Linked DNA regions of Ovis aries. The protein of the gene in region 3 purifies or fractionates together with the protein of the main gene of each other region. This does not show direct contact. Links are inferred from orthologs where the notes say so. Each region holds a gene or a part of one and is shown on either strand. Other genes may lie near its edges.

Region 1 (7,380 bases), about 14 Mb from region 3:
GGGCTGGGACTAAAGCAGCATCTGGAGCAGAAGTCTGACTCCCTGCCCTCTCTCAGTTCCTCTCTTCTCTTTGAAGACAGCCCTTTGCCTTGTGGTGATGGGGGGAGCTGTGAATACCCTGAGCATCACGTAGGATGGGAAATATGGACAGGTCTCCACAGCTGGGCAGCTGAGTATAGGACTCTGTCCTCTTTCATTGAAAATAGGGTATGTGTGGTCACCAAACTGAAATTTCCTTCTCAGGGTCTCCAGGATGGAATATGCAAGTCTCCTTGGTGTGAGGTCCTGTCACCTCTGCACACACCCCACACATGCTCTGACCCCACTGCAGCTGTCTCCTGGAGAGAAGGAACTGCATTTCCTAAGAATGGGCCACTTGCCAAGCTGTACATGCCTGTAATTCTTCATGCAGCCTTGGGAGGTTCCAGGAAGAGTAGCAGAGTGGGACTCAGGTCAAGCAGCCAGTGGCAGGGCTTGAACTTCAGGGCTCAACCACAGCATTTTCCCAAGTATGGTCAGCTTGGGTGGGGAATCTTTTAGATGATCCCAAGGATGAATGTTTTTTTATTATAATAGCTATTTATTTCCATATAGATTAGGAAATATAAGTAGCAAGTCAAACTCTTTTATGAGACTGTCCAGGTGTCTCCAGCACTCAATCATTATTTTTCCCGAGTTCAGGCTTTTGCCTTGTGTGTGGATAGAGTGAGTTTTTCTACTTCCTGGGTAACTGAACGGTTGAAAGTAAGTGAAGTCGCTTCAGTCGTGTCCGACTCTTTGTGACCCCATGGACGGTAACCTACCAGGCTCCTCCGTCCATGGGATTTTCCAGGCAAGAATACTGGAGTGGGCTGCCATTTCCTTCTGCAGGTGATCTTCCCAACCCAGGGATCGAACCCGGGTCTCCTGCATTGTAGACAGACACTTTACCCTCTGAGCCACTAGGGAAGCCCAACTGAAAGGTTGGCGTATAGAAAGTCCTGCCCTCTTTGGCTGCCCTTAGGCTCTAACAGGAGACTTGGTGTGTGGGTCTTTCGGCTGTAGGATCTGTCCCTCAGAGGCGTTTAGGATTCAGTCATTTCACACCTCTGGGTCAGTCCCGCTGAGAGGTAGTGGGAGATACACTTCCCTCTCAAGGAGGGACTTTCCAGTGGCAGAGGGGATGCCTCGAAGGAGGCCCGCTGCACCCCGTATTCCCAGGTCATGGCTCTGGTCAGCACACACTAATTCTACAAATACGGGCAGCGGGGTGCATACAGTCCCAAACTGACGCCCCAACTACTGGCGGTGGTACGGACTGGAGGTGCTAGAAGCACCAGCCCTGTGGAAATGGGAGCTCATGTGGGCTCCTTCTCCTGTGCTGAAATATCCCCTCCAAGAAAAAGGATTACTACCAGGAACAGACCCGTTCCCTCGGAAGCGCTGATCGTGGGACTCTGCCCAGCCACGGATGGGAGAGGGAGGCTGGCCGCCGCTCACCCCTGGCAGCTCAGGCTGCGGGTCAGGAATGAAGGATCTCCCAGCAAGCTGTGCTTGCACACTGCTGAGCAATGTCTCCCGCCTACGGACTTATGGTCACTCCTGAGAGGGTCCGGCTGCGTCCGAGGGGCCCTGCCTGAGGACTACAATCTGGGATGTCTCACTCGCCACCCACCACGACTGTGTAATCGGCCTTCAGCGATTCCTTAAGTCCTGCAGCCTGGGAAGCCACTTGCCGGGCATATCCACGGATGGCTTTGAGGTGCTTACGCGCGGCGGGAAGCGCTGGGGAGTAGGTCCGCGCCTCCCACCTGGTCCCAGTCCCCGACCCCAGGGGGAGACGCGTCTCCAGGCCCGCTCGAAGCTTTGAGCCTCTCCTTCCAGGCCAGACCTGTCGCAAACACCCTCCGCAGAGCACCGTGTGTAGTGTTTCTACCCAGCTCGACGCGAGTCAGGCCCGGATACGCGCATCTGGAAAGCCGCGGAGATTTCCCTTGGGCTCGGGTGGGGATGGCGTGGGCTAACTTGTTAAGATGACAGCCACGGTGCTAGGCGTCTTCCAGGGGCTATGCACGTTCACCACCTTCACCACCGAGAGCCTCTGTCTTTTAAATACATTGCAGCAATTAAAAAGCGGAGGGAGGAGGAGTTCTGGGGAGCCCGTTTGGAGAGAGTGGAAAGAGTTTTGAGCTCCAGGTCTCCCCGATCACTAAACATTGGTGTAACTTGTGTTTGGTCTCAGTTTTCGCATCTGTAAACTGGGAAGAAGACCTACGTCTAGGTGTGACTGTAGAGAAACGGAAGGTGTTGGTGCACAGGCGGCCGGTGCTCCCAGGGTCCTGTTTCCCCCAGGATTGGACCGCGGTGGGGGGACCGCCTCCCTGGCGGTCCGTGAGACCGTGAGACACAGAGACCCGGGCCTGCGCCCCAGGCCGGCAGGCTAGCGAGCATTCGGAGGCGCGTAAGGGCGGGGCCCACGAGGGCCAGGGGAACGCCCTTTCGATCTGGGCCAACCAGCGCTCGTCTCTGAACCGCCAATGAGGAAGCTCCTTACAACCCAGGCCGGATCGGGAGCGAGGCTGAGGCGAGTGCGGCGCTGACAGAGACGCGCGCGCGCGACCCAGCTCGGACCCCGGACCGTCGCCGCCATCACCGCCGCCTGTCCAGTTGCTCCTCAGCCGCTTCTCCTCGCCATGGAGGCGAGGCCGCCACCGCCGCCGCGGGGTTCCAAGCCGCGGGCCGGGCGGTGGCCCTGAGGGCGTGTGGCGGGCCGAGACGCCGTCGCGGCACCGAGGCGGAGCCGCAGTCCTCGACCCCAGCGGTCCCGCCCAACGCTGGACTCGGTGAGTGTTCACGGCCGCCGCCACCCCGACGGGTTCCGGAGATGGGGCGGCGGTTCCCGGGCGCGGGTGGGAGGGGTGCCCAAATCCCTCTTTTCCGGGCAGGATCCATCCGGCTTCTCCAGGGATTCCACATCCTTGCGCTGTCCGTGGGGCTGGGGCGGGGGAGGGGGAGAGTCCCCGGAAACGCGCCCGCCCAGGGGCCGACCCCTCTCCACAGCCCTGGAACTTCGCGTGCATCCTCCTGGGGCCGGGTCGCTGCCATAGTTCATTCTGAAAGAAGAAATTTGGACAGTGAGATCAGAATTTGCTCAGGTCCATTTAATGGGAAGAAAGAGGAGAACTCCTGGCATGAGAAAATTTGCTCTTGCAGTGACCAACTTTTCTTTCCCCAGCCCCTCTCTTTTCTGTCCACTCCCTGCAGTTCAGGCTGCTAAAGAAGGAAGACGGGCTCAGAGCTGCCGAGAATTCAAAATGAGCCAACTGGGAATGCATGCCCCCTCCTTTTTACTTTCGTGAATAACACAAAGAATATCGTTTCTTGAGAAATTAGTTCCTAATTGTATTTCCTGAAGATAAAAAATAATAATGGCAGTGCTGAGCCCAGTGTTGAGCTTTCTTTCTTTCTTTTTTTTTTTTTTTGAGGTCAGTGAATGATGTTTGTAAGACAGGAAAAGAAGAATATTCAAAACCTCTCTAGGAGGGTGAATGCCTTTAGAAGCCCTTGCTCAGGGATCCCTGCTCTAGAACCAGTCGCATCTCCAGAAAGATCTCTTGCCACCTGCTTGCTGTTAGGCAGCTCCAGAAGGAGAAGGTGGTAGGCAAGGAGAGGACTGGTGGTGAAAGATGGATGAACATTGTGTCCTCCTGTTTGTGACCCCATGGACTCTAGCCTGCCAGACTCCTTTGTCCGTGGAATTCTCCAGGCAGTAATATTGAAGTGGGAGCCATTCCCTTCTCCAGGGGATCTTCCCAACCCAGGGAGGGAACCCAGGTCTCTTGCTTTGCAGGCAGATTTTTTACTGTCTGAGCCACTAGGGAAGCCCCTTGCTTGGCCATTCCTTTACAAAACACAGATCTGATGCTATCACTTGTTTACTTAAAACTCCCTTGCTTTTCTTTTGCCATAGGATGAATGAAGCCCAAAATGCCTTAACAAGTCATACAAGACCCTTGACAGCCTTGCTTCAATTTACTCTTATTTTTAGATTAATCCTTCAATCCTCCTTCCCTTCATCCCCTTCTCTGGTCATTCAGAATTGCTTGCCTGCCTTTTTTCACATTTGGATACTTTTGCTTGCTCTTTCTTCCTCACCTTTACCTGCTGAGCTCCACCTCTTTCTTTAAAGCTGTTTTCAGTTGAGAGGCTTGATGAGGGTAGGAGCTGTGTCTTGTTCAGCTCCCATGTTGAAAGCTTCTTCCTCCCAATTGTCTTATAGGTCCTGTCCCATCTCTTCCCCTGATGTTTACTTCCAGGTACCCACTTCCTGAGAGAATCTTTCTTGAGTGTTTCCTGCTAGGCATGCAGCCAGGCAGATAGAATGTTGAAGCCAGGGCTTTTAGTACCTTGATTCCCCATCTACCCATGTCTGTCCTATCCAGCCCCATAAATAATTAGCAGGTAGGAACTGACAGGTCTCATATCCCACTGACCTTCAGTGTGCTCCACTGTCTTTGAAAGGCCAAAAGCCCTATGTTCTCTTTTTCACCTCTGCCTATCTGAAGTGCCCTGGCTAACATATACTCTGAGGCAGAGTGCAATCTAGGAGGCTGTTCACTGGGTACTTTTTAGATGCTGATTTACCATCTAAGTGAAATCTAGAACCAGAAAAGCCACTTCTCTGACTGTGCTACATTCATGGCATTCTATTTGCCAGACAAAGTGCTTAGGATACAGAATAAAAGTGAGGAAGTCACATTTTTACCTTTGAGGAGCTCACAGCTTAAAGCAGGACAGGTGGATACAAATACTTGTCACAGATATTGTGAGGGTGTGATAATACCTTTTATTTGCCTTGTGTTAGGCTAGGTAATAAATGCTTTCCATGAATTATCTTACTTACTCCTTTCTACCCTTGAATAGTGGCTAATTCCTACTAGACAAGGGTGGAAACTGAGCCCATACAGTATGCTGATGAGAATAATCAGGATCTGAATCTTGGCAGTCTAGTTCCAGAGTATCTACCTAGCTGTATAGACAGCATTCCTTCTCTGGGTGGCCTGAGAAAACTTGACTGGGAGGAGGCCTTGGGTCATGAAGGATGGATAGGAGTTTATGTATGGTGGACAGGATACCGGAAAGAGGGAACAGCACAGGCAGGCTTGGAGGTGGAAGGAATCCATTGCCCTTGGGGAACAACGAGAGGTTAAATGTATTTGGACTGGGTAGAGACAAGGGTGGGAGATGAGATTAGGTCAGCTTGAAGGGCTGTGAGTGCTGTGTTTAAGTTTGGGTGTGCATGCTCAGCCGTGTCCAAGTCTTTGCAACCTCATGGACTGTAGCCCACGAGGCTTCTCGGTTTATGGAATTTTCCAGGCAAGAATATTGGAGTGGGATATCATTTCGTACTTCAAGGGCTCTTCCTGACCCAGGGATTGAACCCATATCTGCTGCATCTCCTGCATTGGTAGGCAGGTTCTTTACCACTGAGCCACCTGGGAAGCCCCAGAATTTGGGCAGTAGAGACTTTAAAGGAGGATTTTAGAGGCGGTCAGGGACTTGGGCAGACCAGGCTTTGGAAAAGTCACTCGGGGGCAATGTGGGGCCGGGTGCTCATGCCCTTCCAATTTAAGAGGCAATGGCCAGGACGCACAGAGGCAGAATCATGGCCTCTTAAACCCAGAGTGAGGTCCAAAGAGAATACTGCAGAGTTTTGAGAAAAAGATAATACTTAGGAGAAAAATTACAGCCGTTTGAAAGTATGTAGTAGAGAAATATCTTATTTCTACCTGACCTCCCCAGAGATGGTTGAAGTTTAGAGTGCGTGCTAAGTTGCTTCAGTCATGCCTGACTCTGCGACCCTGTGGACTAGCCCGCCAGACTCCTCTGTCCATGGGATTCTCCAGGCAAAAATACTGGAGTGGGTTGCTATGTCCCTCCTCCGGGGGATCTTCCGATCAAACCTGCATTTCCTCCCTTGCAGGTAGATTCTTAACCTCTGAGCCACCAGGGAAGCCCATTGTGCTTATTTATTCTCTCAAGATGTGAATAGAACTCAAATGAATCTTTATCAGGGTGTATATCAGGATAACCTGGGATGCTTCTCCACATGCTTTCCTTCACCTGACCTTCTCCCCCTGTTTGATTTTATTCCGTTTCTTTCAATTTGCAGAGGGAGACATTGAGTCTTAGAAGGATAGAGTACTTGTGCAAGATGGTGGGTGGTGGTGGTTTTTTTAAGCAGCCCTGTTATTTGTATTCGCCCAGCATATTTCATTGGAAGTTCTGAGTTGATTTGTAAACATTGTTGCATTGTTTTTCCCCACCTTCATGTGGAAAAAATGAGGTCCAGTGAAACTTAAGTTTTAAGCAAGAATTTGGCCAAATGTAGAGCCTTGTCTTTTTACTTCTTAACAAATGTCAAATCTGAAGAAATTTTTTTAGTGACTGAGTACAACAAAAGTAGCAATACTGTAACACTAACAATATAATTGAGCAACAAACCCATAAATAACAACATTAAAATTTATTTTAATATATTCTCTATAGAAAAGAAAATCCATTAAATATGAAATTGTATGTACTTTAAATTCACGTCTATTTGTGTCATTGTATAGACATGCTGTGCATGCATGCTAAATCGCTTCAGTCGTGTCCAACTCTGTGCAACCCTATGGACAGCAGCCCACCAGACTCCTCCATCCACAGGATTCTCTAGGCAGGAATACTGGAATGGGTTGCCATTTCCTTTGATTTTTTTTTTTTAATAGTTATTACCTTTTATCTGTACTTGGTAGGTAAAGTACATGCAGAATATGATTTTTGTATTTTTTTGTAATTTATTGATTTTTATTTTTGACTATTCTAGGTCTTCATTGCTGAGTGTGGTCCTTCTCTAGTTGCAGAGAGTGGGGGCTGCTCTCTAGTTACAGTGTGCAAGCTTCTCGTAGTGGTTTTTTTGTTTGTTTGTTTGTTTTTTACTTCTTGTTGCAGAGCATGGCTGTAGGACACGAGAGCTCAGTAGTTGCAATGGATTCTTAACCACTGGACCACAAGGGAAGCCCTGATTTTTGTGTTTTTGAATAACATCAAACATTTTATTTTTACTCATTTCATTTATTATTTTAAATCACAAAATAACAGTCTATGCATTGATAACTGTAGTTTGTACAATCGTTTTTTATTTTCCTTTTTTCTCTCCTTTTTACTATTATAAATGGTACTTTTGAGCACCCCTGAAACACTTCTTTTGGATTATTTTCTTGGATTCTTTCCCTAAAATGGGATCACTGTATCAGGATATGATTTCATTGCCGGATTGGTGTGTAGAAAGGTTGAACTAGTTTACAACACCATTAACAATTTATTTGGCTCTATATCCTGACAATATAACCAGTACTA
Region 2 (7,310 bases), on a different chromosome or scaffold from region 3:
GCACAGATGCTATAGAAATGCATAAAAGCACGAGGTCAAATCAAATAAATGTTTACCTAACATTTTAGCAATAAGAAATCTAAACATGTAAGTTTCCTTTTAGTAAATTTTCATAACTTGATGCACCATAAAATGTTGACATAACTTCTGACTTACATATTAAATTACATAAAACACAGTTTGAAGACATTTTAAAAAATTCTAATTCTTTAAATAGCATCAGCAGACACTAATATTATTACTCTGAACCTGCATCTGCATCAATCTGAAGTACGGCTGAGTCTACGGCCATACCACCCTGAATGCAACTGACCTCCTCTGAAGGATGGTTGATGGCTAAATATGAAGATCGAAAAAATTTAAAAAACAAAACACTTTCTAGGTGACAACTACTTTTCTTTTACACACAAAATTGGTGGAAAATGCTTGATTTTCATATCAATATTGTATTTAGAGAAACAAGGAGCTATGGAAGAAAGGTTGTTTCCCCCAACTCGCGAAACACAAAAAATGCCCAGCAATTGAAAGCATCTTGAAAACGACTTAGGGATACAGAAACTTACATTTTAACAAAAGCAAGTGTAACTCTGAATCACAATTGTCCTTAGTTGTGAATGCACCTAAAAACTTGTTTATAAAACTGCACAAACGGTGTCTTTTAAAAGATCCCACCAAAACATTCACCAAATAACACAGAACACTTACAGTATTACTCATCATATTATTCCAAGCTCTCACTGGTTAACTATACAGATGGAGCACATCACTACACATACTTGACTCCGAATTCAGCACCATGAAGCCGCTTCTCTAAGAGGTCGACACAATAATCTTTAATTGATCTAGGAACTCTGGCACTGAAAGCGTGCATAACACAAGGTAATGATGTCGTCACCGAGGGACGACAAGAATAGAACCCAAATCCCTTGACTCCCCAGCTTGTGTTTTCCACTAATTGTGCTCCTTTCTACTCATTCGAGAGCATCAAGTGTGAAGGGCTGGAGAAGGGAGTAGACACATGCGCCAGGGTCGCGAGGTGGAGACGGCCCGGAAGGTCCTCAGGAATCACTCTTTGGCACTTGTCTTTTGTTTCGGCTGAGGACGATGAAAGCTGCAGCAACCACCAACCCTTGGGACCAAGAACTGGAACTAGGTACTGCCCGTGGCGGTAACTTGTCTTTTCATTTTAGGCCTTTCCCCTTTTTCACAGCTCCATCGCGGCCAGCCCTAACCTCTTCCCATCCTCAGCTCTACTCCGCACTGGAGTCCCCGCTGACCTTTATAAGAGGCGGCTACGCTGCATCCGTCCTCCACCTGGCCCCGCGTACGCTCCTTAGGACAGGTGTTCTAGGGGGAGGGGGAGGTTTCCCTAGAAAATGAATGCTAATCAAGCGTTAGAAATGGGTTTCAGCTGTTAGCAACTTGAGATGGGAACCGGGGTAGATACCCAAGTCGGCTTCTGCGTGGGTCTGTGCAGCTCATCACGACAAAGCAAAATGTAGATATATATGCACAGAGCTTTTCCCTCTAGCTGGGAGCCTTACACAGCTCAACCGTCCCCTAGGCAACCTCCCGCTGGAGGACGCTTTCCGGAGCGCGCGTGTTTACACTCTTCCTGGACCGGGGGTGCTGGAGAACGTCGCTCGCGGACTCTGGGGGATTCCAAACCGTTACTCCGCCCGCCGGGGTGGGACAGCCCAACGGCTGAGCCTGCGCAGTTGGGCTAGGTCGGCACCAGGGTCCCGGCGCACTACAAGTCCCAGAAGGCAAAGCTCCGCGCGGGGTCGGGGGGAGCGGGGGGGCGGGGCGCGGCGGCTGCCTTACCTGCCGCGAGCTTAGTCCTCCGGCTACTACCAGCTCTCCCCCTCCCCCGTTCCCGGCAGTCTCCGCTCCACATTAAAAGGCTACTTCCTCTGGAAGCACATGAGAGGAACCCTTAGCAGCCTCTACACTGACGCTCCCCGCGTACTCGCTTTTTCTCTCTCTGCCCGAACTGAGCCTGACTCCCTCACCGGAGTCGGCTAGCGGACGCAAGAGAAGGGAATTTTTGGAGGGAACCAACCTGGTTCCACCTGATCACACTTCCGCCTCCCGGGCTCCGGAAGGTACCGCGCACGCGCTCCCTGCGACTCCGGCGCGGTTGACTTCCGCTCCCACTGTGCCCTGCGAGTCGAATCATGGATCACACTGGTAAGGAGGCGGAGGCAGTGGGGGTCCAGGTTCCATGCCCCCTTGGCCGGCCTGGGACTGGTCGCCCAGCGAACATAGAGGGGTTACATTCGCCTTACAGCACTGGGGTGTGGCGGCGAGGAAGGAATCTCACAGACCCTCTTCCCGTCTCCGGCCAGGGCCTGCTACTTCCTGGCCTACCCTCCGATGTGGTACCTACAGCCTCGGTGCCGGCAACGGCAGCTCCTTCTGAGCCCGGAGCCGGCACCGCGGGGGGGCGCGGGCTTCGCGTAGAGGAGAGAGCGCCGGCAGTTTCCCCCTCATTTTGGGTGCTCTGCCCTACGTTATGGGGACTGGCGGGTAGAGAGTCTGGGAAGTGTCATTACGCTGCGAGTCGATGTGCTAGGGTGGGTTAGAGACTTCCTGCTGTTTCAGTCAGCTTTGGGCGGGTGCTGCGATGGTCACTGCCTGTCGTTGTCTCTCCGGTGTTTCTTGGACTAGAGGTGGGAGAAGGGAGTCGGATACGGTTTTTGGAATGATACCGGGAGCAGCTTTTCTGCTTAAGCCTGTAGCATGCCCCGCGCTTCATCTGTGGTCCTTAACCACCAGTCTTGAGCTTAAAATCAAGATATTCTCATCACTTTCTCCAAGTAAGAATGGCTCCATTCTTTCTTAAGTGTTTTTTGTCTTTTGCTCCCTTGCAGTTTTTGGATGTTGAATGAGTGCATTTGGAGTTAGATACTGCTCCGTTCAGTTTATCAGCTGTATTACTAGTAGGGTGATAAAAGGCTTTTTTCCAGTATCACGTATTAGTTAGGATTCCTCAGTCATCAACTGTCTACCTAATTTCATATATATATATATACACACACACACGCACGTTATGTGTGTATGTATACACACACACACATACACATATGTATATACACATATTCTTCTAGGCTTGGAGGTGGAATAATAAACAAGGTGAACTGAGTCCCTGTCCTCAGGGAAGTTACGTTCTATTGGGAAAACCACAATGAACAAGTGTTTAGAAATACAGATTATTATGAGGGCTTTGAAGAAGACATATGGGGCTGTGGAAGGTAGAAGCTTCAGAGACGGTGGTCAGGAAGAGTCTTTTTAGGAAAGTAACATTTGTAAGCTGTGATCTGATGGATGAGAGGAATCCAGCTTGGCATAAATCAAGTGGAAAGTGTTTATAACAGGTACTAAGACTCTGAGGGAGGAAAATGTAGAGAAAACCAATCAGCTGCACTTACATAGAGGGAAAGAGCCCTAAGATAAGATTGGTAAGGAAGACAGGACTCGGGTGGTGCAAGACTTTGAAGTCCATGGAAAAGATTTGAGTGTAATTTTAAGTGCAATATGAAGCCATTGAACAGAAGTAGAGGAGGAACATAATCTGTTTTTAAAGTGTAACAGGTTGTTGTATGAAGAATGGTGTAAGAGAAGGAGGCAAGATAAATAGAAAATTTAGGAAGTGATTGCAATAGACCAGAAGGGAAGCTTGGTTTAGTGATGGTGGCTTGGTTTAGTAAAAACAGGAATGGGCAGATTCAGTAAATATTTTGGTGGTAGAACTCAGGCCCTGGTGGATTGGTTTGGAGGCATGTGAGAGAAAGGAAAGGTGCGTAGGGTTCTAGTTTTTGAGTGGTGTCCTTTATTGGAAGACTTGGGAGAAAAATGCCTTTTTTTTTTTTTTTAATGGAGTAGAGGTCACAAATGGGAATTTGGCAACAAGACTTTGAACTGCTAAGGATGAGGTGTTTGTTGGGACATAGAAGGGGAGATGTCAAGTGGAAATCATAGGGAGGTTTGTTTGGAATGATTTTAAGGCATGAGGATGGATGAGATCACTTAGGGAAAGGGAAAACAGTAGAGAAGAGGGCCTAGCAGCAGGCTCTAGGGAACTCTAGTGTTTGGAGCTTTTATAGAATTGAAACCGTGAAATCTTGGTGTTAGAGAAGCAAACGTGCCACATTAGCGAAATGTTTCTCATTTGAACCTGTTACTGGAATTGGAAGTCAAGCACTTTTCACAGTTTAAAGATGTTATGTTGGGAAATTGTAATGTGGGTTGGTGTGTATCTGAGTATTTATTATCCTACTTTCTAAGTTAAAAGTTTGCCTAAGAAAGTAAAAGTCATCCTAACATGAAAATACTCACTAATGAACTGACCTCTTGAAAAAATAGTTCCTGCTCAGATATCCCTGCTGCTTAACATGAACCTCTTTTCTTCTTTTTTTTTTAAATTTCCTTATAAGGCAGTGTCCTTACCAGTTTCATGTCAGAAAATGGTATTAAATTTTGTATACTGATTGTGATTACAAACCTTACAAAATATTCAAGTTTTCATGATATTCATAAATGTGAATTTGGTAATTGAATCACAAATAAAATCATTGGGAAATGAGGATGTGCCAGATAGCCAGTAAATTGAACACATGTCAGGATAGGCATCTCAAAAGGAAAATTCTAATATTAAAGGATTAAAAGAGGCCCCGGGGAGATTGATGGAACTCTCGAATGTTATGCAAAAATGACTGGTTTTGTGAACGTGCTGAAATTGTCAGTCATAAAATGAAGGCTATCCTGTAGTATTGTAATAGAAAATTACTTCAAGAAACTCCTAATTAACACTTGATTGAGTCTTTGGCCATTCTAAAAGTTAGCACTTAGTTGTAACTGTAACCTAAATTTTGTAAAAATATTTCTTGATTCCTTTAATTCAAGATAAAATTCTGCACAAATCTTTTAAAAACCTATATGATACAGTATTCCGTATTAGGCCTTTTACAGTGGATTTCACTTCATATGAGTGGTTACATCCTTAATTCTCACTCTCTATAATATCCAAGGACTTTTCATTGTTAGGGTTTTAGGGTTTTTAGTTGTGATATTCAACTAAATATATTGTTGAATATATTGCATATATACTGTATATTTTGACTCATAATAAAACCCCCCAGGATAAACCCAGAGTGATGTCACTATTAACAGCTTGCACTTGGAGTCTGAGGCAGACTGCAAGATGTTAGAGGGCAGCAGGCTCTTGAAAGTCATAATTGTGACTTCGGATGTCTAGGGTAGCGTGAAAAGGACTTGTAGTAATGAAGTGTTGTTCACCAAGGAAAAACCGTTCAGAGTCCTTTTACTGTCGGAAAGATGACATTGAACTGTCTCTGATAACTTGCTATTTTTTAAATTCATTGAAAAATCAGGAATACCTTCCAAGCAAAAAAAAAAAAAAAAAACCTCATTCTGCCATACCTTTTTGCTGTTACATTGTTTGCAGGTACTTTAAACAGCTAGAGCCGAAGCAGATGAAATGCATTATTATCTTTTTGCTACTTCATTGCCTGTAGATGTTTAGCAACTAAATGCAACTGGAGTGAAAGCAGATGAAAGCATTATCTGATTGTTGATACATTTGTGAAGTGTTGAGAGTTAAATCAAGATGGATTTATCCTAGTTTAAGACTTTTAACTGTCCATGTATTCCCATTCCCATGATTTTTTTTTTGCAGATTAGCTGTTATGAAAATAATGATAGAAAGCAGACTGAAAGATATTTAAATTAATAATTAAGGACTGATTTTGAATTTTGTTCCGTGTATTATTGAGAAAGAGTGCAAATCTATGTGTTATTCTAGTATCCTTAGAGATCATTACTGCTGGGTAGGATACTACTTCCAAATTTGGCTTTAGAGAATTTAATGTGGATAGTTTGGTTATGTCTCTGTGCTGTCTTCCTGCAGTGGCAGTTACATAGCGTTGCTCACTAATTGTCATGTTTAAAATGTTACTATTTTAAATTATTTGCGTTTCCTACTTTAGGACATTTGCCTTTCTGCTTTTAGCAGATAAAGGTAAATATTTTCTGGATTGTAATATGTCATGGACTTGGAAAAGAGGTGGCTTTTAATCTTAAAATAGAGTCAGTTCTATGAAATAATGCTCATATTACTCATAGGATATGAGTAAATTTATTTCGTAAGCTAATAACAGAGACATAGAAAGTGTCAGTTGTTTAGGCCTAGTTGAAGTATAGAAATCTTGCATCCTCCTCACCTATAATTTACCATTACAGTGCTGACTAAGAATAACGCAGTCACCTGTACATATAGAAATGTTATAGTACATTAGTGTCTGCGTTTACTGCTAAATTGTGTGGTAATTTTTACTATATTCCTGAATGCTTTTTAGAAAAACTATTTTACACCGAAGAGGATAATCACATCCCTAAAGCTAACTTCGTTTTCAGCGTATTATTTATGTAATTCTACCACTGTCAGTGTTAGTTTGTGTTTCCAGTAGTGATTGTCCTGATGTAGATGCAGATTACTAAATTCATTGAGTGCCTACTTTGCATGCTTGATGGAAATGATGGTTTTCTTTCTTTTTGCTGTTCTTTCTTTATCTTTTATTCCTTCTTTAAAAAAAAATCTTACAGTTGCTAGACAGAGCTTCTTACTTTAGGCTCATGAAGGACTTTATGTTTCTATAAACCCCTCTGGAATTCCATGGAAAATTTTATTGTCCATCCTCTTAGGGGGGGGTTCTGTAACTTTTGTCAACTTTTTAAAGGGCTCCATGTCTTAAAAAACATTGCTTTAAGAGTTTATCCAAAATAGAGAAAATTAGTACTTGAACTTACATAGCATAGTATTTACAATCAGATACTCAGCCCTTCATGATGTTGGGTATATTGCTTTAATACCTGTGGCAGAATAACCTTCAAAAAGAAAACCTAAAAGAAATTACAACTTTTTTTCCTAACATAGACAATGAGTTACAAGGCACTAATAGTTCTGGATCGTTGGGTGGTCTTGATGTTCGAAGACGAATTCCTATAAAGCTCATCTCCAAACAAGGGAACAAAGCCAAAGCTTCACCTCGAACTCCAAGGACTATAAACAGGATGCCTGCAAAGGCTCCAGCTGGTGATGAAGGTAATGTGTTTAACAGGTCCAAAAGTCTTTCTTTAATATCTGATTCCACCAAATAAGCCATGTGAGTTTATTTACTTTTAGCCACTTCTTTTTTTATCTTAAATATTCTCTTCTTCAGTCTTCGACTTCTCATTTTGGCATATTTTACTTGCTATCCCTTTATAAATATTTTTGATTTATTTTCTTT
Region 3 (7,280 bases):
AGTCATTTCCTGATGAAGAAATGGGGCACACAGAGAGGTTAAGTCATTTTCCTGAGGTCACACAGCCAGTTAGGGGCAGAGCTGGGATCCAAGAGTGGGGAGTCTGGCTTCGGAGCCCACCATGCTATACCCGGCCTCACTCTCTCTCTTGCTTTGAGAAGAATGAAGGATCTTTCAGGTCTGGGGAGCACTTAGCACTGGGCCTGTCAGAGTCAGAGCCAGATAAATCGTGACCCAAGTGTCAGAGCCTTGGCAATTTCTCTTTCTAAAATCTTTATTTGTTTGGCTGTGCTGGTTCTTAGTTGTGGCATGTAGGCTCTGAACCTGGGGTCAGATCCCTGACCAGGGATCAAACCCAGGCCCCCTGCATTGGGAGCACAGAGTCTTAGCCACTGACCACCAGGGAAGTTCCTGATTTCTCTAATCATATCCCCTCAACAGTCCTGAGAAGTCTGCTTTATCCCTACTTTGCAGATGAGGACACTGAGGCCCAGAGAGGGGAAGTGACTTGCCTAGGGTCACACAGCAGGCAGAGGTGGAGCAGGGCCTCTAGTCCACGACCCCTGACTCCATACCTGGTGTTCGTGCTGTGACCTCAGGCTGCTTCCCAGGTCCTCTGAGATAGCCCCTGCCTTCACCAGGTGAGGTGATGACCCATTGGGGCTGCCAAGATGAGGGAGCTGCGAGGGGTGGCCATATTGGGTGGGGAGACCCTGGCCAGGCTTGGTGGGAGTCAGCACCTGTGGATGGGGACATAGGGAGCAAAAGGGGGTGGTGGAGTGATGGTCATCACTGGGGAGTTTGCAGCTTGAGTTTCTTTGTGTTTCCTGATCTCTAGCCCACCCAAATTCCTGGCTTAGACATCTCCTAACTCTTCAGTAGTCACACATTCACGCATTCATTCAGCTGTTTATTGAGCACCTACTATGTGCCACTTCTAGGTACTAGGAGTGCAGCAATGTGTCTAGATGGACAAAAGCCCATAGAAATAATCATATGATCACACACACACACACACAGACACACACACACAGGGTCACGTGACCCCACGGACTGTAGCCCGTCAGGCTCCTCTGTCCATGGAATTCTCTAGGCAAGAATACTAGAGTGGGTAGCCATTCCCTTCTCCAGGGGAATCTTCCCAACCCAAGGACATAACGTGGGTCTCCTGCATTTTAGGCAGATTCTTTACTGTCTGAGCCACCAGGGAAGCCTCATGTTATCAAGAAGAGGCACAAAAGGAAGGGAACTTAAACCAATGAAAGTAGTTTGGGAGCACATCCAAAGGAGGTGAATTTTTTTTCCTTAAGAGCATAATTGAAGTATAGTTGACATACAGTAAACTGCACATGTTTAAGGTCTGCAGTTTGATAGATTTTGACACATGGGTGCACTCATGAAACCATCCACATAGTCAAGATAATCCATCACCCCTAAACGTTTCCCTCCCACTCCCCACATGCTGCCTTTGGGGTGAGAACTGAACAACACATGAGTTACTCTGCTGAAATAGTCAAGGAAAAGCATTCAGGCAGAAGGAATAGCATGTGCAAAGGCCCTGGGGCTGGAATGAGCTATCAGCCATCTCTCCTTCTTCCAGCTGCCTACTATATCCCTGCCCTGGTTGCAACTTTTAGCACCTCTTTCCTTGGTGTAGGACAATTTCAGCCAACCATGTATTCACTCAACAAACCTTCAGCCCTCTTCTGGGTGCCTGGAACACACACATGCCTCAGATACTGTCCCTGTCCAGGAGGGATGGACACAGTGTCTCAGGGGAAGGGAGGGTGCAATTAGGGCTGCTGATTATGAGGCATTTCTTCTGTGCTTGACCCTACACCAAGGAAGCCCTTTATGCATGCCATCACTATTCCCATTTTATAGATGGAGTAACTAAGGTTCTGAAAGGTAACTTACCCAAAGATATCTCTTTGGGCCTCAGTTTTCCCATCTGTAGAATGGGTGGAAGTGCGGGCTAAGGGGCCCAGGTAGCCCTGTCTGCTCCCAGAGTCCTTCACCTCAAGGTCCTCTCTACTCTACAGGACCATGGGCAGCAACAAGAGCAAGCCCAAGGATGCCAGCCAGCGGCGCCGCAGCCTGGAGCCTGCCGAGAATACCCACGGAGGCGGCGGTGGTGGAGGCGGCGGTGGGGGTGCCTTCCCCTCCTCACAGACCCCCAGCAAGCCAGCCTCCTCTGATGGCCACCGTGGCCCCAACACGGCCTTCGCCCCTGCAGCCGCTGAGCCCAAGCTGTTCGGAGGCTTCAACTCCTCTGACACAGTCACCTCCCCGCAGAGGGCGGGGCCCCTGGCTGGTCAGTGTGCCTGGGAGTGAGTGCCGGGTGGCCCTGGCCCCCTGGGCTGTGTGCCCTGGGGGGCAGCGATGCCCGCGTTCTGGGCTGCTGTTTCTTTCTCTTAATGACGGGGAGGAGTCTAGGGGTTATTTGGTCTTAGGGGCTATTGGGAGTTTTTTGGAGGTTTTATAAACTGGAAAGAGTGGTGCACACGCCATTGCCTTTAGGGCTGAATTCTGATGTGCAGTATAAAGGGCCCTAGAGATAAAGGGCTGCAGGTGGAAACTGAGGCCCAGAGAGCCGGGGGCTTCTTGGGGAGGCCCGAGGACCAGGTCTGAGGCTTTGCTTTTCGCTCTGGTTAGCCTGGAGATGGATCAGGACTGGAGGCGGTGAGTGGCCAAGGGGGCGGGGCAGGTTTTAGAAGGAGAGAGAGCGCTCGGGTCTTCAGAGGCTGGACCTACGAGATGCGCCCCTGCGCCCTCTGCTGGTATTGAGGGGGTATAGCCGCTTCGGGCGAGTGATGCTTAGTAAGAGAAGTAGATGCGGTTCTGGAGAGGTAAGGCCCTCACACAAACACGGGCATTTCTACCGGGACACCTTCAGACAGACACACACACACAGTCGGCAACTCATTCAGAGACACCCAAATAGGACACGTGCACATGTTAGGCTGAAGATGCCAGCGTAAACACAGACACACCATGGACACAGAGACACACTCAGGGACACAGGAATGGGCACCCTCCAGGCACAGACACACACCCACCGCAGATGCACACAAATGCAAAAGCACATACGCAGAAGCGCCTCCTACTCCCAGATGGAGACACAGACGCGTGCAGTCGGAGCCCTTCAGAAGCGCACACATGCTCAGCTAGCACCCATGGACACGCAGATGCACACACGTGCAGTGAGAACACACAGACACGCACCCAAGCGAGACAGACGGACCCGCAAACACAGCCATTCATTTGTTCAGGAGACAGTTGTGGCGCCCCTCCTGTGTGCCAGGTCTCTTCTGGTGTCAGGAACACAAGCAGTGTGTAAAACAGACAAAACCCTCCTGGGGAAGAGAGGCGAAGAGCGAGTTGCGTAAACTGTGCCCTGCGTTTGTGGGTGGTAACTGCTCTGAAAGAACACGGAGGACAGGGAGGGGCGCTGGGGGATGTGTGGGTGGAGGTTGCATCTTAAAATGGGCACAGAGAGGGCTTCAGGAGGGACAGTCACCCGCAGCCAGGATCGTCCCTGATGGCCCGAAGCACCCAGAGTCACACAGAGAGTCACAGAGCCGCCTCCCCAGGGGCAGTTTTCCTTCATTCACTGCTTCACTCACCCCATGGTTGTTTCTTGAACACCTGCGATGCGCCAGACTCTAGGAACAAAATAAAGATGCCTGTTACTGGGGGCTTCGGGTTCTTGGGGGGAAGACAGATACCAAACAGAAGCCAACACCCAGCATCACCTGGAGCCCGCTGGGCTCATCATGTGAACCCGCTCAGACACACGTGAGAGACCCACGTGCCTCCTCCGTGCCCTCACAGGTGTGCCAGACACATAGACACAGGGGACATGCACAGAAGCCCACCGTCTCTGTAAATGAAAGCAGGCCCCCGGGCTGGCAGTGGGGGACCCTCCCCCACCCCCAGAGTGCAGGGCTCTCCTCTGCCAGCCAGGGCCGGGCCTTCTGACACGCCCGTCTTCTGAGCAGGCGGAGTGACCACCTTCGTGGCCCTCTATGACTATGAGTCGCGGACAGAGACTGACCTGTCTTTCAAGAAAGGGGAGCGGCTTCAGATTGTCAACAACACGTGAGTGCCCCCTGGGGACCCCGATCTGGTCTTGGGCTGGAGCCACTTCTGACCATCCCAGAGCCAGCTTGATGGGCAGTGGGCGGGGCTGGACGTCAAGGCAGCCGAGGCCCAGGGAACCCATCCTGGGCATCCTGGGGTCTGTGGGGGTGATCAGGCGGGCACCCCGATGAGGTGGGTGTGGCTTTGGGAGGGCTCCAGGGACAGGGATCTGGGTTCGGTAACTGATCCACAGAGCACGGTGCTCCAGATCCCAGCACCCGCAGAGGGGCGTGTGGTCAGAGTAGGACTGGGCCCAGGACCCGGGGCTACAAACAGCAGGGCCTTTGTACTTGAAGGCTGTGCCCCAAGAGGTGCTGGAGCACCTGGGGCAGCCCAGAAAGTGAGTCTTCAGCTGTAGAGGGAGGGCCCTACATTGGCAGGGTTGGGGGACCCATATTAGGGACCCAACATGAGAGGGGTCAGGATAGGGCATGGGGAGGATGGGGCATAGGATGTGGAAGGCAGGGCACCCTAGGGTGGCATCCATGTCCCCCTCCAGGGACTCCAGCCTTGTCATGGGGCATCCTAGGGCCAAGCTGATGAACGGGGGAGCAGGGGACCCTGCCAGACTCTGGGGCCCCTGTGAGTGATGAACTGATGAGAGGGGTGGGGCTTCAGTCAGGGGGTGGGGGCCTTCCTCTCCTCCCTCCTCCTCTCCTTTCCCCGCCTGCCCAGAGTGCAGTGGGAAGTGGGGTGCAGCATCTGTCGTGGGGGGTGGGGAGTGCAGGCTTTGGGTGCCATGCCCTGGGGTGATCACAGTGGGGGCGGAGCTGCCGACAGAGGGCGGGGCACAGCTCCACACCAGCTGCCTTCCTGCCCTTGGACGGCCTGCTCTCCCGTCTCTGCCACCTCCCATCCCTCCCCCGCAGCCTCGGGGATGCCCTGCCCCACTCCTGGCCCGTGCTTGCTCCCTCCAGCTCTCTCTCAGCTTCTCCCTCTCTGCTTCTCTCTCGCTGGCCCTAGGAGGAAGGTGGATGTCAGGTGTGTACGTGCTCCCAGGGCGGCGGGCTGGGTGGGGGTGCTTCACTGGTGGGGGTGGGGCTGCATGCGCTTCCGCCTGCACCCCCTTGGCTGCACCCCCTCCGGCTTCCCCAGCTTCTGTCCTCACACCCTAGAGTTGGACCAGATCCTGACCTGCACCCCCAGGCTGAGAATGGGGAGGGTCCTCTCATCACCCCTGTCACTCCCCATCACACCTCCTCCCCATCCACCTCCTGCTCGCTCAGCTCCCCCCAAGTGCCAGCTGCATGCAGGGCCAGCGCTGGGCCTAGGGAGGCCTGGGTGGAGAAGGCCACGTCCTCCTGGGGCCAGAGTATAGTGGAACTGGCCCTAGTCCGGGCCCCGTGGCCTGTGCAGGGCATGGCTGGGATCAGCTTGGGCTTTAGGGGGCTGTGCTGTGTGCCCACCTCTGGTCGTGACCAGGGGCTGGGAGGCTCAAGCAGGACCTTGAAGGAAGCACAGTGAAGCCGAGCTGCTGGAGGGAGGTGATGGATGGCAGCCCCCCTCAGAAGGGCAGCTCCTGGGAGGGTGCAGTGCTGGAGGGGGTTACATGCCTTCAGGGCTATGGAAGGGTGAGAAGGTTCTAGAGGGTAGAGTGGGGTTGATCCCAGAGCATCCTGGAAGGCCTGGCTAAGGAGGTTGGACATCCCCACCGTCTCTAGGCATTTCTTGCTTGTTGGTGCCTGCCTGCTGTTATGCATGTTGTTCCCTCTGTGTGAAAGGCCCCTTCTCCCATCGGTCTGGCAAACTCCTACTCATCCCTCAAGATCCAGCTCAGAAGTGCCTTCCTTGTGAGGCAAAGGGGAAAAGAGGGGTAGGCATTTTTACCCACGTCCTTTACTCTGCTGCCATTCCACCAGGGCTGTAGTGATGGGGGAGGGACCATCGCCATATTGATTCCTCATATGGAATGAGGAAACTGAGGCACTGAATGAGGAAACTGAGGCTCAGAGATGTAAAGGCCCTTGCCCAAGGTCACACAGCTACCAAGTAGCAAAGCCAGGATTGGAACTTGGGCAGCAGCACTCTTCTTTAAGCTGCTCTCCCAAGGGGAGGGGGCTTTCCCAGCTCCCCCAAACCCCTGCTGTCTGAGTCCCAATGCCACTCTAGTTCTCTTCTGGTTCCAGCTGTTTCCATCTGCCTACCCCTAAACTGGAAACTCGTTGAGGGCTGCTCTTGTGCCTGCCCCATTTTGGGGCCCCCATCACCCCATGTTCCTCACCCCACTGGGGGTACCCAGGTGGTACTGGCGCACCATTTCTTGTGCCCTGCTTGTGGGCCTGTGCTCACGCTGACCACTTCAGTTGCCCTGTTTTATTTAAAAGGCACCATAGTCCTGGGAAGTGGAAATGTTTATTGGCTCCATTTTACAGATGAGGAAACTGAGGGCCAGAGGGGTGAAATGACTTTCTCAAGGTCACACAGCTAGTAGTGACAGAGCTGGGTAAGGGGCCGTGGGAGGGTAGGCATGACCCTGAGCCCTTGGAGGGGGTGCTCTGCAGGTGCAGAGGAGCTGGGAGGAGGGAGGGGCCTGAGCTGGGCAGGATGGTACCTCAGGCTGGAGGAGACTTTGAAGTGCTGGGGAGCTCTCAACTGGCAACGATGGGAAGGGCTTCTCAGGGGGCTCACAGCTTGAGCAAAGGTGTGGCCAGAGGAGAGTTCTGGAAACTTTGATCCTGCCTCTTTCACTCGTCCTTTGCCAGCCCCTTTCTTTCCTTCTTCCTGTCTTCCAGGATGGGCTGGGGGTTGCCTGGAGGGCCAGAAGTGATGGAGACCTGTCCATGGGAAGCCCATGAGGGGCAGTGAGGTGCCCCAATTGGAAGGTGGGGGTGGATCGGGAGCCCTTCCTCATATCACAGTATTCAGCTGCTCCTCTGCCTTAGAAGTCAGGTGATGGTGGAGTTGGGGGAAGCTGGCATTAGAGGAAGAGGAGGGGTAACAGGGTCAGGGATGGGGCAGGGGAGTATCCTTGTCCTGCTTCCCTTAGTGGAACATAGGCTACCCAAGCGTGGGGTTTCATACCTCACCCCGGGACCACCCTGCTTGTCCCTCTACCATTATTGCTTAAGCTCCGTTATTGTAAGCCCCCTGCACCCACCGCGCACCCTGCAAGAGTGACGGACTTTCTGAGTCTGGCC

The links.
Region 1: the proteins of SRC (region 3) and PTPRA purify together in Homo sapiens (co-immunoprecipitation; 4 studies listed by BioGRID and IntAct, with this or other methods). This does not show direct contact. The link is inferred for Ovis aries from reciprocal best matches to the Homo sapiens genes SRC and PTPRA.
Region 2: the proteins of SRC (region 3) and CBLL1 purify together in Homo sapiens (affinity purification with western blotting; 3 studies listed by BioGRID and IntAct, with this or other methods). This does not show direct contact. The link is inferred for Ovis aries from reciprocal best matches to the Homo sapiens genes SRC and CBLL1.

What each region holds. Positions count from the first base shown.
Region 1 is NC_056066.1:52,019,571-52,026,950, reverse strand, and holds the start of PTPRA (receptor-type tyrosine-protein phosphatase alpha), read left to right. Parts: upstream 1-2,775; 5' UTR 2,776-2,822; intron 2,823-7,380. UniProt on the Homo sapiens protein: Tyrosine protein phosphatase which is involved in integrin-mediated focal adhesion formation.
Region 2 is NC_056057.1:50,272,511-50,279,820, forward strand, and holds the start of CBLL1 (E3 ubiquitin-protein ligase Hakai), read left to right. Parts: upstream 1-2,155; 5' UTR 2,156-2,177; coding exon of another isoform or gene 2,178-2,190; 5' UTR 2,191-2,626; coding exon 2,627-2,819; intron 2,820-6,955; coding exon 6,956-7,123; intron 7,124-7,310. UniProt on the Homo sapiens protein: E3 ubiquitin-protein ligase that mediates ubiquitination of several tyrosine-phosphorylated Src substrates, including CDH1, CTTN and DOK1. Targets CDH1 for endocytosis and degradation.
Region 3 is NC_056066.1:66,305,117-66,312,396, forward strand, and holds part of SRC (proto-oncogene tyrosine-protein kinase Src), read left to right. Parts: intron 1-474; exon of another isoform or gene 475-641; intron 642-2,042; coding exon 2,043-2,314; intron 2,315-4,001; coding exon 4,002-4,101; intron 4,102-7,280. UniProt on the Homo sapiens protein: Non-receptor protein tyrosine kinase which is activated following engagement of many different classes of cellular receptors including immune response receptors, integrins and other adhesion receptors, receptor protein tyrosine kinases, G protein-coupled receptors as well as cytokine receptors.